Linked DNA regions of Tamandua tetradactyla. The protein of the gene in region 1 purifies or fractionates together with the protein of each later gene. This does not show direct contact. Links are inferred from orthologs where the notes say so. Each region holds a gene or a part of one and is shown in the gene's direction. Other genes may lie near its edges.

Evidence for each region.
Region 2: the proteins of MAP4K4 (region 1) and RAP2C purify together in Homo sapiens (affinity purification with mass spectrometry; 3 studies listed by BioGRID and IntAct, counting the BioPlex papers as one, with this or other methods). This does not show direct contact. The link is inferred for Tamandua tetradactyla from reciprocal best matches to the Homo sapiens genes MAP4K4 and RAP2C.

Annotation. Positions count from the first base shown.
Region 1 is NC_135343.1:7,241,386-7,249,517, forward strand, and holds the start of MAP4K4 (mitogen-activated protein kinase kinase kinase kinase 4), read left to right. Parts: upstream 1-5,090; 5' UTR 5,091-5,199; coding exon 5,200-5,256; intron 5,257-5,504; coding exon 5,505-5,570; intron 5,571-8,132.
Region 2 is NC_135353.1:30,358,119-30,365,761, forward strand, and holds the start of RAP2C (ras-related protein Rap-2c), read left to right. Parts: upstream 1-4,613; 5' UTR 4,614-5,078; coding exon 5,079-5,351; intron 5,352-7,643. UniProt on the Homo sapiens protein: Small GTP-binding protein which cycles between a GDP-bound inactive and a GTP-bound active form. May play a role in cytoskeletal rearrangements and regulate cell spreading through activation of the effector TNIK.

The DNA of each region.
Region 1 (8,132 bases):
TGTCTTCAAGGTTCATTCACCTAGCTGTATGCCTCACTACTTCATTCCTTCCTGTAGCTGCTCACTATTCCATCATGTGTATATACCACACTTTGCCCTTCCATCCATTAGTCAATGTACCCTTAGGCCATCCATGCAATGGTCTTTTTTTTTCTTTCAGTTTTTTATTGTGAGATATAATGTGAAGAAAAGTGATAAATTCAAAGTATGGTTTAACATATAGTTATAGAGCAAATTTCAAAGTATGGTATGGGTTACAATTCTACAATTTCAGGTATTTCCTTTGAGCTATTCCTGTATACTAGATACTAACAAGAAATATCAGTATAATGATTCAGTAGTCACAATTATATAAGTCCTATCTTCTCTGTTATAACTCTTCCTTCTCATTTAATCCTTCTCCCAGTCTTCAGGGATATTTGGGCAATAACTATTCTAACTTCATCAAGATGAAAAGAGATGTCAACATTATGGGGTAGGGTGATGCAACTGGCTGATGCTCTTGGAGAGACTGGTATCTCTGGATTTCAGGGTGTATCTAGCATAGAACAATCTGGAGATTTTAAGTTTCTGAAAAGTAAACTTAGTGAGTGAAACTTGTATAGAGCCATGGATAGGGCCTGGGTATTCTTTTTATCTTTTTTTTTTTTTAACATCTGTTTCCCTGTCATTCATTTATTTTCAATCCACATTTTTTACTCATCTGTTCATACCTTACATAAAAGGAGCATCAGAACAAGGTTTTCATAATCACAGAGTCACACTGTGAAAGCTATATCATTATACAATCATCTTAAAGAAACATGGCTCCTGGAACACAGCTCTACAGTTTCAGGCACTTCCCTCTAGCCTCTCTAATACACAGTAAACTAAAAGGGGGATGTCTATATAATGCATAAGAATAACCTCCAGGATAATCTCTCAACTCTGTTTGAAATCTCTCAGCCTGACACCTGGGTGTTCTTTAGGGTTTTCAGGAATACTAATGATTGGAGCTTGGCATATCATGGCAATATGTAGTATCTAGCTGAGGCTTGCATAAGAGTAATCTCCAGAATAGCTGCTCAACTCTATTTGAAATCTCTTAGCCACTGATACCTTATTTTGTTACATTTCTTTTCCCCCTTTTGGTCAGGAAGGCACTGTCGATCCCATGATTTCAGGGCCAGGCTCATCCCTGGGAATCGTGTCCCATGTTGCCAAAGAGACTTACACCTGTGGCTATCATGTCCTACATGTAGTGGAGAAGGTACTGAGTTTACTTGCAGAGTTGGGCTGAGAGAGAGAGAGAGAGGCCACATCTGAGCAACAAAAGAGGTTCTCTGGAAGTGACTCAGCATGATTACAGGTAGGCTTTGCTTCCCCATTATAGAAATAAATTTCATAAGAGCAAGCCTTAAGATTGAGGGCTTGGCCTATTAACTACGGAGTCCCTAATGCTTGAGAGAGTATCAGGAATTTCCCAGGTGGGGAAGTTTAATAGTTCAATATATTTTCTCCAGTCACTTAGGGGACTTTGTCAATTTTTCTGCCCAGCATATTCTGGAATGTATCAGGGTGCTATATTAAGCTATACAAATTTACAAGATCTTATTCCCTATTTTAGACTCCATGTGTTTAGGTCATTTAACCAAACTGGCTAGACAGGTTAAGTTAGATTGTGTACTACAGAAAATTTATGTTTTGGACAAAATAAACATCTCTTCCTTTGTTCTCACACAGTAGGTGAAGTTTTAAAATACAGACAATATCAATCTTTACCCTGTACTCTGATTAGCCTTAGTCAGAACCAGATTAGCATCATCCTTTTCTCTAATTGAAGTCTGATCTCTTTTTGGCTTCTTTAGCAGTTGCTATATGGAGTAATCCTGACTTTCAGTTTCAGAACTTTAACTCTGAGTCTTAGGTATCACACAAACACCCAAAGCTCCATGAAAATACCAGATTATACACATAGAGCACAGCATCTCAGAATTTAGAAATAACACTTAAAGCTCAAATGTGATAGCTCTAAGAGCTTACAATGTAGGCCCTAGTTTTCTTATATGTATTTTTTAAAAGAGAGCATACAATGTCTGTCCTTTTGTTTCTGGCTTCTTTCATTCAACATAAGGTCCTCAAGATTCAGTCACCAAGTTGCATGCCTCATATGCCTCATGACTTCATTCTTTCCTGCAGCCTTCCTGCAGCCACTCAATATTCTGTCGTATGTATACACCTAGTTTATGCTTTCATTCATCAGTTGATGTACCCTCTGGTCATCCACATGATAGTCTTTTTAATTGTTCTTTTTACCTCAGCTTCATCCAACACACAGAGAGGAAACGGAGGCTCAGAGATTGAGCAACGTATTCGAGGTTACACCACCGATAAAATAAATGGGGTTCAAACACAATTCAGTTTTGCACGAAAAGCATCAACCACTTGACCTGTTGAGTGAGTGCTCTTTCCAACTTGCTAGAACTTAAACGTTCTGCCTTTTAGTGCAGTGGTTTATGAAATGATCTTATTCCCACTGTCAGATTATATGCTCTCTGATGGTATTTTCCTTCTGCCTCAGACAATGGCTAAGCCAACTCTCACACTTAATAGCCACTACAAGACTAGGTATTCAACTGACGGGGAAATAACCGTCGCAATGGTGACATAGGAAATAGTAGCCTACGAGACAGATTGAGAGGAGAGGGAAGAAATGATTTCTGACTTGGGCTTGAGGAGAAGATGTGAATCTAGAGGGGAAAGAGGAAGGGGTAAGTCTGGAGGTGGGCCCAATGTTATGGTTTAGAGCTTCGGCCTTGAACTTGTAGGGGGAGGATGGCTGGGGGGCCAAGCATTTCTGCAGTGCCCAGCCATGCACACCAAGCAATTGATGCAACTTCCTCAGACTTTGGTTTTCTAATGTGTAAAGTGGGAAAAAGAATATTGCATACCATTTGGGGTTCTATGAAGAATAATGAGATAATCCATGTAAAGGACTTAGCACATGGTTTGGACCCAACACATTTTATCTATTATTAAAAGTAAACACTATTGAAATAATATTTGTAATATGTTCTGAAAGGTCACGTGTGCACCAATCTAGCTCCCTGAATAAATTATTTAACTTATATTCATAGATAATGGCATTATTTTTATTTTGGGGGGTGATACATGGGCTGGTCTCCCTCATGCAGGCAAGCATTCTACCACTGAACCACGTGTGCACCCCAATATTGTTGAGTGATTTTAAAATAATCATTTGAAAGCACTAATTCACATGGATATTTTGGTTACTATATTTGCCCTAATCAATGGATATCAGGAATTCCTGAATATGTTTTAACCGTACAAGGGATTCTGATGGTCAAAAATTTTGGAAACCAAACCCTTGGGAGGCAGGAGACTGCTAAATTTACTCTGGGTAGAGCAGACTAACCTGGCTGAACAGAGACTTGGCTCTTGGGAATAGGCTGATCTGGTGAGAATCCTAACTCCACTTACTGGCTAATCTTTTAAGGAATTTGGGCCCATTCCTTGGTCTTTTACATTTTGGTTTCCTCATCCTTAAAGTGGGGAAAGCATTTACCCCAGGGCTACAGGAGGGGTAAAACTGGACATTGGTTTAGTACAATGCGAGGGTATAAAATGCATAGAGACGGGTAGATAACATGATGGTGATGATGCTGATGTTCATAAGGCCCAATTATGAAGGGCCTGGGATTTTCACCCTGAGGCCGCAATTTTCAAAGTGTTCTCAAAATCAGCATCCTCGAGAACTCATTAGAGAGAACTCATTCACAGGCCCAACCTTGACCTACTCAATCAGAAGCTCTGGAGTTGGAGGCCAGCATCCCGGTTTTTTTTTCTTTTCTTTTTTTTTTTTTTTTTTTACAATCCTTCCAAGTGATTCTGGGGCACGCTTAACCAGGACCAAGAGGTTTTGGACAGCGGCGTGGGCTGCTGAAGATGACTGCTGAGCCCGGACACGCAATATATTGTAGATTATTCTGCCTAACTACCCGGCGACCTGCCCCCATTGCTGAAAGAAACCCGTCTGCTGAAACATGGCTTATTTAGTATTTAGGGTCTCCACACCCAGTTCACGGTCACCTACCAGGGCTGTAAGGAACGCAGCACAGGCCAGGAGCCGCGCTGCTCGGATGCCGCTACCGCCAGTCTCCCGAGGCCGCGGAGCCGAAGGATGCTCAGCGGGTCCCGCGCTGCCCCCGCGCCACACATTTAGCCTGGAAAGGAAGATAAAGGAAGAGAAAACGGCGTAGGGGAACCGGAAATGGGGGTCTTAAAGGTAGACTCAATGGTGGCGGGGGAGGATGGGGCGAGAGGGGCCCGAGGAGGAACGGAGGACGCCCCGCTCCGAGGTGACACCCCGGGTCGCGGCCGGCCGCGCCGGGCGGGCCACCCCCTCCGGCCGAGAGACGGACTAGCTGGGCCGCCCCAGGGCGTCGGGGTCCAAGTTTATTTCCTTTGATGTGGCGCCTGTTTGCGCCCGGCGGGGACACTTTCTGCCCCTTCGCACCTCCCTGAGGAAACCCCAGCCCTCCCCAGCCCTCCCCGGGCGCCCGACGACTGGGCCCCGCTGCCCGGCCGGCCCGGCCATTGTCCCGACCCCACCCCTGCTGAATATTCACGGCGCGGCCCGCGCCTCCCCCGGCGGGGCTCCGGGGCGTGAGTGCGTTTCCGCTCGCCTTTCCTGTCGGAGGAGGCGAGGGGGAGCTGTCGGCGCTCGCCTCACCCTGTATTTTCGGAGCCCCGTTTCTCCTCCTCCCTCTCCGCCCCACAGCCCGCCTCCGCCTCCGCCTCCCGGCTCAGCTTTGTCTCGCCGCCCCGCGCGCACCCGCTCGGCTCTCGGCGGCGCCGGGCCCCACGCTCCGGGCAGCGTCCTCCATGCGCGCGGCGCGGGCCGCGGGCCGCCGGGGGGCCTGACGCCGCCCCCGCGCCATGGTGTGAGCGCCGCCGCCGCCCGCGCCCGCTCCGTCCGCCCCTCGGCGCGGCCCGCGGCCGGCAGGAGCCCAGAGCCGGCGCGAGAGCCGGGCCCAGCCCGCCGCCGCCGCCGCCCGCCCCGACCCGACCCGCGCGCAGGGGCCCCGGGCCGGCCCCGCTGCCCCGGCGAGGAGGCGCGGCCGGCCGCGCGGCCTTCGGCTGGCAGAGGCCAATCCCGCTCGATCTTTATCACTGCTTCGGGGGTGGCAGAAAGGGAAAATGGCGAACGACTCCCCTGCAAAAAGTCTGGTGGACATCGACCTGTCCTCCCTGCGGGTGAGTGGCCGCGGAGGGGGCGCGGGGCGGGGGTCCGGGCGTGGCGGGCGCGGCGGCCCCTTTGTCTGCGGGGTGGCGTGTGCGGGGGGCGCGGGCGGCCGCCGGCGGGGACCGGCCCCGGGGCGAGACCCACCTCCCTGGAACCGCCCTTTCTCCAGCCGCTCCGCTTTGTTTCTTCAAAAAAAAAAACCACAATTTTTTCCTCCCCTTGCTTTTAAATCGTAACCCCTCCCCTCCTTCCCCTCCAGGATCCGGCTGGGATTTTTGAGCTGGTGGAAGTGGTTGGCAATGGCACCTACGGACAAGTCTATAAGGTCGGTGTGGGGCGCCTTCTTTGTTTCCCGGGGCGTGCTCAAACTTCTGGCCGGGAGGCGAGGAGCGGGTGACCGCCGCGCCGCTGACCCGGGGCCGCGCCGCTTGGCCCAAGTTAGGCAAAGGGGCTTCGCCCGGCGGGCTCGCAGGTTTTGAGTTTATATTCGGGACTGGCCTCGAAAGACCTCATTTCCTGGCCTTGAGATAAGCAAGTAAACGGCCCTCCTAGGCTCGTACTTCTCTTCGGGGAGATGGAGAAACAGCTCTCCTAAGACAAGCTGCGGAGCTTTTCTTCTTGACTCGGCGTCTGGCCTAGTGAGGTGGTGGGTTAATTAAGCATTCACGGTAGGCCGGCCGTGCTGATGATGTTCTTAAACCACTGTCTGGGCCTTCTTAAAGATTGTCATCGCGTTTCCGTGTTTGGAGGCGAGCCAGCTGCTCGGGTGCAGAGTTGGGTGTTCACGGTGGCCACTTGATCGCTCCTTTGGACGCCCTCCTGATGGATGCCTGTTTTGGGGAAGCAGGGAGAGAGGTGTGTGCTTGGGCAGCAGGAGGAGGAAGGATTACGGTGTGAGGATGATAAAATCTGAATTCCAGGAATAACCTGTTTGACAGGTGTGTAGTTGAAACAGAAATGAGGGAGCATGAAGAGCAAGGAGGATGCCTTGGCTTTCACACCCATTCTAGGTCTTCCTCTCTCCTTTTTTTTTTTTTTTTAACACCCTTCCCTCCCACCCACCAGCCGTAAACGAAACTAACAAATCTGTACAGTATGAGTCTGTGATGAGTGGCTGACACCAGATGTGACTAACAGTGGTGTTCATTTTATCCAGGGCACATTCTAAAGATGCTGGAAGGGCAGTAGGCAATGGAAGAGCAAGCCTTGACAATATTAGGGTGTTAAATTCTCCCCGCCCTGATTTGCCTCTCATTACTTAACAATTTCTAAAAGTTATTTGCATGGAAAGAGGGATTTGTAGGTGGGGGGAAGGGCTAGCTGGTAAAGTGGGTATATGATTGGGCTAGGAAAAAAAATATGAACAAGCTCTTTGTGATTTCCCATGAAGAATTGTCATTGTCTCAGTAGAATGGGGGAAGGGGTTTGGGCGCTGACCAAAGCTCTTTTCTCAGGCCAGATTAAGTGTGGATCCTATCATCTCCCTTGTGCCTTATGAACAGGATTTATCTGTCGCTTGAAGGCTTCTCCCCAGCCTCGACTTCCCTTGACATGGTCCTTGTACAGGCCTGCGGTCTGAACTTGAGTCAGTATTTTTAGGTGATCCCATGTGTTTTGTTGGTTAACTGTCGAGGGGTGGGGGAGCAGATTTTTGAATTTGAAAGGGAGCCCTGTTAACTGCAACTGCTGGGCTCAACTGAATTTGGAAGTGTTTGGAAATTTTTGGAAAAGATTGTGTTGCAACTCTCCAAGTGGCCTAGTAACTGGCTTAAAGACGTTTTCCGTATGCCCAGTGTTTGCTTAAGCGCCAGTCAGTTTTTTCTAACTTGGTTTTTCTGGCCAAATCTAAGTGGTGAGTGTACTCTTCCAAGTGAGTTAGCCAGAGCTTGTTTTTGATCTGGTTACACAGTAGTTGGAATTGTTTGTATCTTATTCGGTTAGCATGGATGTAAAGGGCAGTGAAGTAAGCTAGAAAGCATCAGTCTGCTATTAAACTATAAGGAAAATGAAAGAATGAACCCAAGTGTCTAGTAATTGGTTCTGAGAAGTTGGGGTAGGGGAGCTCTTATGGTAACGATTTGGACAGGTTCATTGTTAAAGTTTGCCTCCCTCCTTATTTCCTCTCTGGTTCCATCTTCCGCCTCCCCAACCCCTAAGGTTTTGAAGGAGATTTGCTGAGCCCTACATTTGGAAAGTATTTGAGGTCTCAGCAGTGACACAGCTCCTTGACCATAAAGTCTGTACTGCTGAGAAGAAATTTTCTAATTATGCAAACCAAAGGAATTAAGAAAATGATGCAAAGGTAGTATATGATCCAGATTAAAATATTGCTTGAAATTATTCTCAAAAGCAGTTACATTTTAAAAAACATTGTGATTTTTCAAGCATCTACAAATAGACACTAGATCACTCAGTTTAACAGTAGTCAGCACATGACTAATCCTATTTCATATATATATTTCTCCTCCCTTTTATTGTTTTAATATAAATCCCAGGTTCCATATCATTCCATCCATAAATACTTCAGTATGTATCTTTTTTGTGTTTTGCATAATCACTATACTGTTGTCACATCTAAAAAGTTAATTCCTTCATGTCCAATATCCAGTGTTACCGTTTTCTTAATTGTCCCATCAATGTTTTCTTACTGTCACAAGAAGTTCTTTAATGCTTACAACCTGATAACACTGAGAAGCTCAGTCTTAGAGACCGAAAACAACAGAGACAGTTAACGTCTCTTTTCTTCTCCTTTTAAGTGTATAAATTCTAGAACCATTTACCTTTTGTGTATAGGAGGTTAGTTTGAATTTTTGTTGGCATGATTTGAATATGGTGGCTTTTGGGATTAGTTTATTAAGACGCTAGCTTTTTTTTTTTAATTGCTGCA
Region 2 (7,643 bases), on another chromosome or scaffold:
ATGCAAAAGTCAGGGAAGGAGGCTGCTCACAAAATTATGTGATCCTGTTCTTAGTTTTAAAAACATAGCTGTTTACTCTTACAGAAAAATTTTGAGAAAGACAGAAAAATGTTAATGGCAATTTTCCATGGGTAATGAGATGACAGCTTTATTTCTTGATTTTTTTTCAATAAGCATTATTTTTTATAATGAGAGAAGTGTAACAAGGAAATTTTACTGTTTTTCGCGTACTCAGGGAGCTTAACGTGCCGGGCAACTGGTGTAAGAGGAGGCAGAATTTGAATGGGGAGATTTGCATCTCAGAGGCTAAAGGGGTTTGTAAGATAACCTAACTGATATCAAAGGGGCTCCAGAGTATATAGACTAAGATTTCTTCACCTTATGGTAAAATTTGACTGTGTTTCTGAAAATCATTGCACGAACAACAGTTACTCTGGGGTGGCAGTTGATACAGAAGAAATGAAAGCAAAATTCTGAGTCTCAAGGGCATGGTCTCTGGAGGAAAAGCCCTCCCCCTCATCTTTGAGCCCTGGGAGTGGAAAGTTATCATTTGAGCAGTTTGTATTTATTGAGCAGTTAGTGTTTGGCAGGCTAAGTGCTTTGAATGGGTTGTCTCATTTATTCCCTAAAGGATCCCTGTGATTTAGATACTGCTATTATGCTCAACTTTACCAAGGAGAAAATGGAGTTGTAGCTAGCAAAGGGCAGTGTTAGTTAGGACTGTTTGACTCCGAAGTCCAAATTCCTTCTACCACACTATGCTACATTTGTTAGTCCTGCAAACACCCTAAAGGGAGTAATGATGGCAATAAAATTCTAAAAATAGCTAAGGTGAGGGTATAAAAAAGTACCAAATAAATTTAAGGGATCAGTATTAATAACAATACTCCTAACTTAAGCGTCATGCAGCATTGACAGGAGTGTGAATTGGTATGACCTTTCCGAAGGTCAATTGGGCAATATTTTCCAGAAGAATTTTAAATGCAAATACCCTTTGTTTCATTTATAGATCTACTAGAAAGTCACTCTAAAGATTAACTGACAAAGCTATATATGCAAGATGCTCATTGCAAAGAATTAAAAGCAACTGGTGTCCTTCAATAGGGAACTCCTCACCCAAATTTTGGTACAGCTATTTAAAAGAATGAAATAGATATATATGTTCTAAAATCACCAAGATATAGTAAGTGGAAACAAGTGAGATGCAGAATGGTGTATGCAGTTTGTAGTGTGATCACTTTTGTGGCAATCTTAAAAGATACATATAGAATGTGGATTGATAGATGCACTGGCAATATAAATAACCTTTTTATTCCTCCAAGAAAGGAAACACAAGGGCTTTTTAAATAGGTATATCTTTGGAAAGAAGTACTGAGTTATTACTTTTATGCCATTCAGAGATATTTGGGTTTTTTTTACATTTTGTTTTCTACCCTGTGCTCTCTGATTAAAAGCAAAACAAACATTTTATTAAGCCTTTTAAATAAAAACCAAATAGCTAGCATTCACTGTGTGCTAAGCACTTTACATGCAATACCTCATATATATTCTCACATGAAATTATCCCCATTTTACAGGTAAGGAATCAGAAGCTCAGACAGTGAAATCACACAGCTAGGAGGTAGGAGAGTTGCAATTTAAATCCCTGCCTGTCTCATTTAAGAACTCTAGCCCTCAATTGCCAGGCCCTGTACCTCGAATTGGTCTTTACACTCTCATGGCCTAATGAAAGTAAACTGGTGAACAACTGGAGTCTAATGAGATAATGTATGTGAAAATAATTTTCTAAGTATAGAGTTGTTTGGGGGGAGGTAAAAAAGGGACAGGGAGTTTGTCTAAATTGAGCAGACCTGTCCACTGACTCCTAAACATTTAGGATATTGTTTTTAGAGGAAGCGATGATCAAAGACTTCCTTTTATTTTCCCTTTAAAATGTTAAAATTATATTTATTGTCTTTTCCCCAATAATACCTGATCATTATTTTAAAATTAAAATGATATGGAGAAAAGACAGTTCTTCCATGATAACCCTCACCCATAATTAACTAGTTTGCTTCAGATTTTAATGGCTATATAATTATTGCATATGCACTGGCACATATTTTACATAAATGGAAGCAACGATATATTTGTTTAGTATCTTTTTCAGTCTCACAATGCATTGTGGGGTTCTTTTCATAACAGTACTTACAAATCTACATCTCTTTTTAAAATAGCAACCTAGTATTCCATTTTGTGAATGTATCCATATATATATATTTTAACATGGGCAGGCACTGGAAATCGAACCCGGGTCTCTGGCATGGCAGGTGAGAACTCTGCCACTGAGCCACTATCGTACCGCCCTTCTCATATATTTTTGAATCATGTGTAGGAAAACATTGAAGTTTATTCCCAAGTCTTTGTTTTCCTAAACAATGCTTTACTAAGAAAGCTCTTCAGGCTGAGTGTGGCACTTGGCGACCCCTTAGTTGACGAGACTGACCCAAAAGGATTCTGTACTGAGGGGAGGAGTATGTTTCACTGTATGGAGAAACAAAGAATTCTCTCCAAACCATGACCAATACATCAGAGATAGTGCATCTGCCAACAGGTGGGATGGCGTCAAAAAGAAGAGCTCCATGTTTTGACAGTTAGGGATAGAGCAGACTTGCTAAGATTGCTAAACCAGTGGCTGGATCAGAAGAGGAATTTCCAGACTCAATTACAAGCAGTGCTGGTGGAGGGCTGTGGATTCTACCAGACAGTCTGGAGACAGCTAGACGGGGAGATGGGCAGCAGAGCTCCAAATCAGGCAACAGCACGTGTGAAAGGAGCAGTGACCTATGGGGAGACTCATAACTCAGAGAACAAACCTTTTCCAGCAGAGGGCAGTGCGTCTGATATGAAGCGAGGTCCAGGCCAGCTGGAGCCAGAGCTGGGGACTTTGCTGGAGAGATTGCGCCAGGCCTGGGCCAAGGAAAAATTGAACTAAACGGTCCTTTGGATACTGTAAGTGACATTGGGAAACACTCAGGGTGGGACACACTACTGTGATTTGCCTATTTTCTAGGGTCCAGTAATTTGGATTTGTCTGTATTCAGTCTGTCCAGCCAAGCTTGCAAGTAAGGGACTTAAAATTCAATTTAACTAGGCTGGCCACCATGTTTCTCAGGTTTCTGGGTGCATGCTTGAATTTAAAAGGGGGGGACCTGCCGAAAATGTGACTAGTCTTCTGATCCTGGGGCTCTGTGGATCTGATACGAAGTTTACAAATAGAAGGCTGTCAGAGTGAAAGCTACGTGAGAAGTAACAATTTTATCTAAAAATAGCAACTTAGTGTCTAGCATTAGTAATTATTTGTTTTTGAATTTCAATGACCCTCAAGGATGACAATTAAAATAAACTTTAAAGTGGGAGAGTCAACAGTGTGAATTGCTCTGCATTTAGATGATCAATGATTAAAGGAAATTAGTCCGCTGACCTAAACAATTTCCAATCAACTGTTCCCTGCATATTGGTTTCCCTTTCTGTTACGTAGTCTTTGACATCAAATAGAGGCAAAAGTGAAGTAGCATACCATGAGTCTGTTTCCAATGCTGTCATTTTGCAGCCTTGTGATAAGAAAGTGAGTGATGGGGTCAAGGCAGACCTGTCAGATGATAAAAGTATTGCGCGTTTCTGTGTTTAATTATTTGCCAGGCACGGCTAAGTAACACGCCCACATGGGAATAGGAAACAATAGCATAGTCTAGGGGTAGTTTGCATGAATTTCTTGGAAAAAAATAACAAGTGGAGGAAATACCAGCAAAGACCATCAACTTTCTCGGCCGTTTTATTTTCCCTGCAACTTCTAGCTCAGAGATTTTGGTCTTCTCCCGGTCGCTGGATAATTAGCTGGTGGTCCCGTGTCCTGGCCAAAGAGAGATGAGTCCTCAGGCCTGGCTGGGGGAGCGTGAGCCGCGGAGGGGCTTCACCCGGTTGGGAGGTGGGACCGTCAACAGCCACGGCTGCGGGCCGGATAGGGGGGACGCTGGCAGTCCACCCAGAGGTCCTTCGTCCCGGCCCGAAACCGTCCCCGACCCGCTCGCCCTCTCGCCCGCTGGGCAGGGCGCGGCCCCAGCGCCAACCGGCTCGCCCCGAAGAGGTGGGACTTTCCCCACCGGAAGTGATCCCGTCCAGTCTCGGGGAACTGGGGCACCTCAGCCAGTGTGTCAGGGAAACCCTTCCGGGTGTGTGCTGGGGGTAGGGGGTGGGGGTGGGGGGGTGGCTGAGGGAAAAAAAAAAAAAAAGAGGTGGGTGAGCCTGAAGTCCCTGCGGCCGCTGCGGCCGGACGGCCCCCCGCCCCTTTCTCCTCCTCTGAGAGCGGCAGCTCTGGGGCGGCGGTGAGACCGAGGAGCCGGCCGGTGGCAATGGCCTTGGCGTGACAGAGCCTCCCGGGCGGGCGGGCGGGCGCGGACGGCAGGGTAAGCGGCGGCGGCGGCGGCGGCAGCCCGGGGCTGGCTGGGAGCGAGGGGTGGCGGAGGTCAGGCGGGTAACGCGCACCCCTCTCCCCCTCGCAGGCCGGACGACCCCCCGCGGGAGCCGGGACCCGGAGACCCGCCCGGGCGGCAGTGACTGGAGCGGAGCCCGCAGGCCAGGGCCGGCTCGGAGGCGCGAGCAGGAAGCGGGGTCCCTGGGCCACTTTTGTGTGAAGGGCGGGGGAGGGGTGCTTCTCGGACGTCCGCCTTCCCGCGGGGGCCCCCTTTCTGCAGCGTCCACCCCCCCCCCCCCCACTTCCCCACGGAGGGGCAGGTCTCGTCTCCCCACCCTCGCTGGCATCTTCCCGGGCTCGCCCTCGTCCCCACGCCCCCTGCCTGGGCTTCAGTTCCTATAGGAAGGGCATTACCATCCCATCCCCACCCACCCCGACACTTCGCTCTTTCCCCTCCCCCTCTTTTAACTTCCTCTTCTTCCCCCGTTGGGCCCTCGGCTTCTCTGCACTCTCCTCCCCAGTTCGCAGATTTCCGCCCACCTTCCGCCTCGCCTAGCCGCACCGCAGCTAGCCGGGTGTTGTCCCCCCACCCCTCCTCTGGTAGGAGTTGGTGAAGGTGAGACTCATGAGGGAATACAAGGTAGTGGTGTTAGGGAGCGGAGGGGTTGGCAAATCTGCGCTTACTGTGCAGTTTGTCACTGGGACTTTCATTGAGAAATATGACCCCACCATTGAAGATTTCTACCGCAAGGAGATCGAAGTGGACTCTTCCCCCTCCGTGCTGGAAATTCTGGACACCGCAGGAACTGAGCAGTTTGCCTCCATGAGAGATCTTTACATCAAAAACGGCCAAGGTTTCATCCTCGTCTATAGTCTGGTTAACCAACAATCTTTTCAGGTAACCAAAACCAAGTCTTGTAATTTGTTAGAAAGGGGTGTGCTAATCCTGCATCTGCTTCTGGTTTGCCTGAAACTGTGCATTAATGACTGTGTTTGCTTTTGAAAGTCAGACATGGGCCATTTTTGAGGTTACTCCTCGCATGGAAAAGTCTCGGGTTGTTTCTATAGAGAGTAGTGCAGTAATAACCGTCAACAAATATCTTAAAGTTGTTTGTAGGTCCAAGAAAAGTGAACAAGGAATAGACGGGCCAGTCCGCCTATAGTTAGCCTGGAATAAAACCTTTTGAAGCTGCTTGTTCAATTCAACAAGTATTGATTAATTTACTCAACAAAACACAAGATTTAACTGATAATCTCCAGCAAATAGAGCACTTTGAAAGGAAAATTATTTGGAGTCCATTATCTTTTGCACAGATAAGCTCTTTCTGTCTGCTTCCCCCTCTGCCTCTATTCTCACCCAAGTTTCTCAACTTGAATCATAAATTTGAGTGCTGCAAGATAAAGAACCCAAGACCTGCCTTCTAGGCATTTTACTTAGAATGTGTGGCAAAAAGGGAAGTTACTAATAGAAAAGACTAGTATCCAGAATTAATAACCAACAAAAAAGCAAGAATGATTTTCTTTTTGTGCCATAGTTCCAAAGTGTTTTTGGTAGCATTGACTATAGAAAATGCAGACTTCTTACCCTGGCTGGTTAGCCAAACTGGATGTGGTCCAGTTTCTTAGGAAAATCTGTCCTGTCCTTCACTGTAAGACAGAGTGAAGGTTTAACATTGTTTTAAGAGCTGCAATAAATGTTGCTATTTATTGCTTGAAAATAAATAACCTCATATTGACCCATTGTATTGACTTCCATTGACTTAGGAAATGGATGTTTTTTCTGCATTTAAAGGTAAGCACTTAATGTTGTATACTTAAGAGACTAAGTGCTTTAGCGGGTGCAATTTACTAATTACACTTTTCTTAGTATTTTTAAGGTACTGTGGCAAACTTTTCCAGTAACTTGACTAATATAGCAACTTCTGAATTTTTTTTAAGATGTTGAGTTGTTAGTAAATGAATCAAAGCTATTGCAACCAAACAAAAGTTCATTTTATGTAGGCTTAAATTCCAAAACAATAGTATCATAAAAACATTTTTCCCCACAAACTACCAAAGTACTAAAGGTGCTATTTGACAGGCTTTTTTTTTTTTCTAAAGGATCCTGGGGAGATTTGTTATTCTATTAGCTGACTCTCTTGAGGCTGGAAATCTCTTGAAGGGTTTTTCATAAGATGTCCATTATATCCACTTCTGTTATTGACATAAATGGGGGGTGAAAAACTGCCATCATTTCAACAGAGACTATTACTCTTTTGAGCCTAACTACCATAAGTTTGGATTCTCAGCTGAAATTTGTGTTTCTGTAAGGACACAGGGAAATAAAGCTTAGCCTAGAAGATTGAATTGATTATATGATCAAACAAAATTGTTGCAAATACCAAATAACAGTATTTGTCCCTAAATTTTCAGTCCCGTTTTTCCTTCATTCTGCCCATGTATATTCTGTGTTTACTGTATCTGTTCAAATTAAACATAGATTTTATATTTATGTCAAATCTTTTGAGATGAAAAACAAAAAAAAATTGTGGTGTAAGGATACAATCTATGATATCATCTTGAATCAATATTTTTTCACCCTCCAAATTGATGCTGCTGGAGAATTGTTAAGACTCTTCTTCTTATTTTTTGTAGTTAAATGGTTTTTTTATTAGAAAAAGTAATACATATGGAAAAATTCAAGTAGTAAAAACAGAGGTATGTGAAGAAAAGTATGACTTCTTTCCACCCCAGAATCCCCCTTCATTGTTCTTCTCAGGAGTTGCTCACTTGAAGTGAATTTAAGTATATTTTAAGATTTTGCTGGGATAAAGGCATACCATTAAATTTAAAATGAAACATTTAAGTGTATTAATCTGTTCTTAATTTTGATCTTCTAGGTAAATTCTAAGGTGTTTTTGTTCCCACCTAAAACACTTTCTCTCAAGTACTCTTGCTAAATGGCTAGGAATGCATAGATGCAGCAAGCCTGTGCTAGGATAACAGGTGTTACAAAGAGTGATGATGACAAGCAGGCAAGAATATGGAAATGGCCAAACATGCTCATGTATGAATGGGTTAATCATATTTGGGGAACTTCCTTTTTGAATTAGTATAGAATGGGGGATAGAAGTGATTATATGAGTCCTAAGGTTAGTATGTAACCTAAGTTTTATATTATTCTCTATATAAATCTGGTAGGTAGGACCTG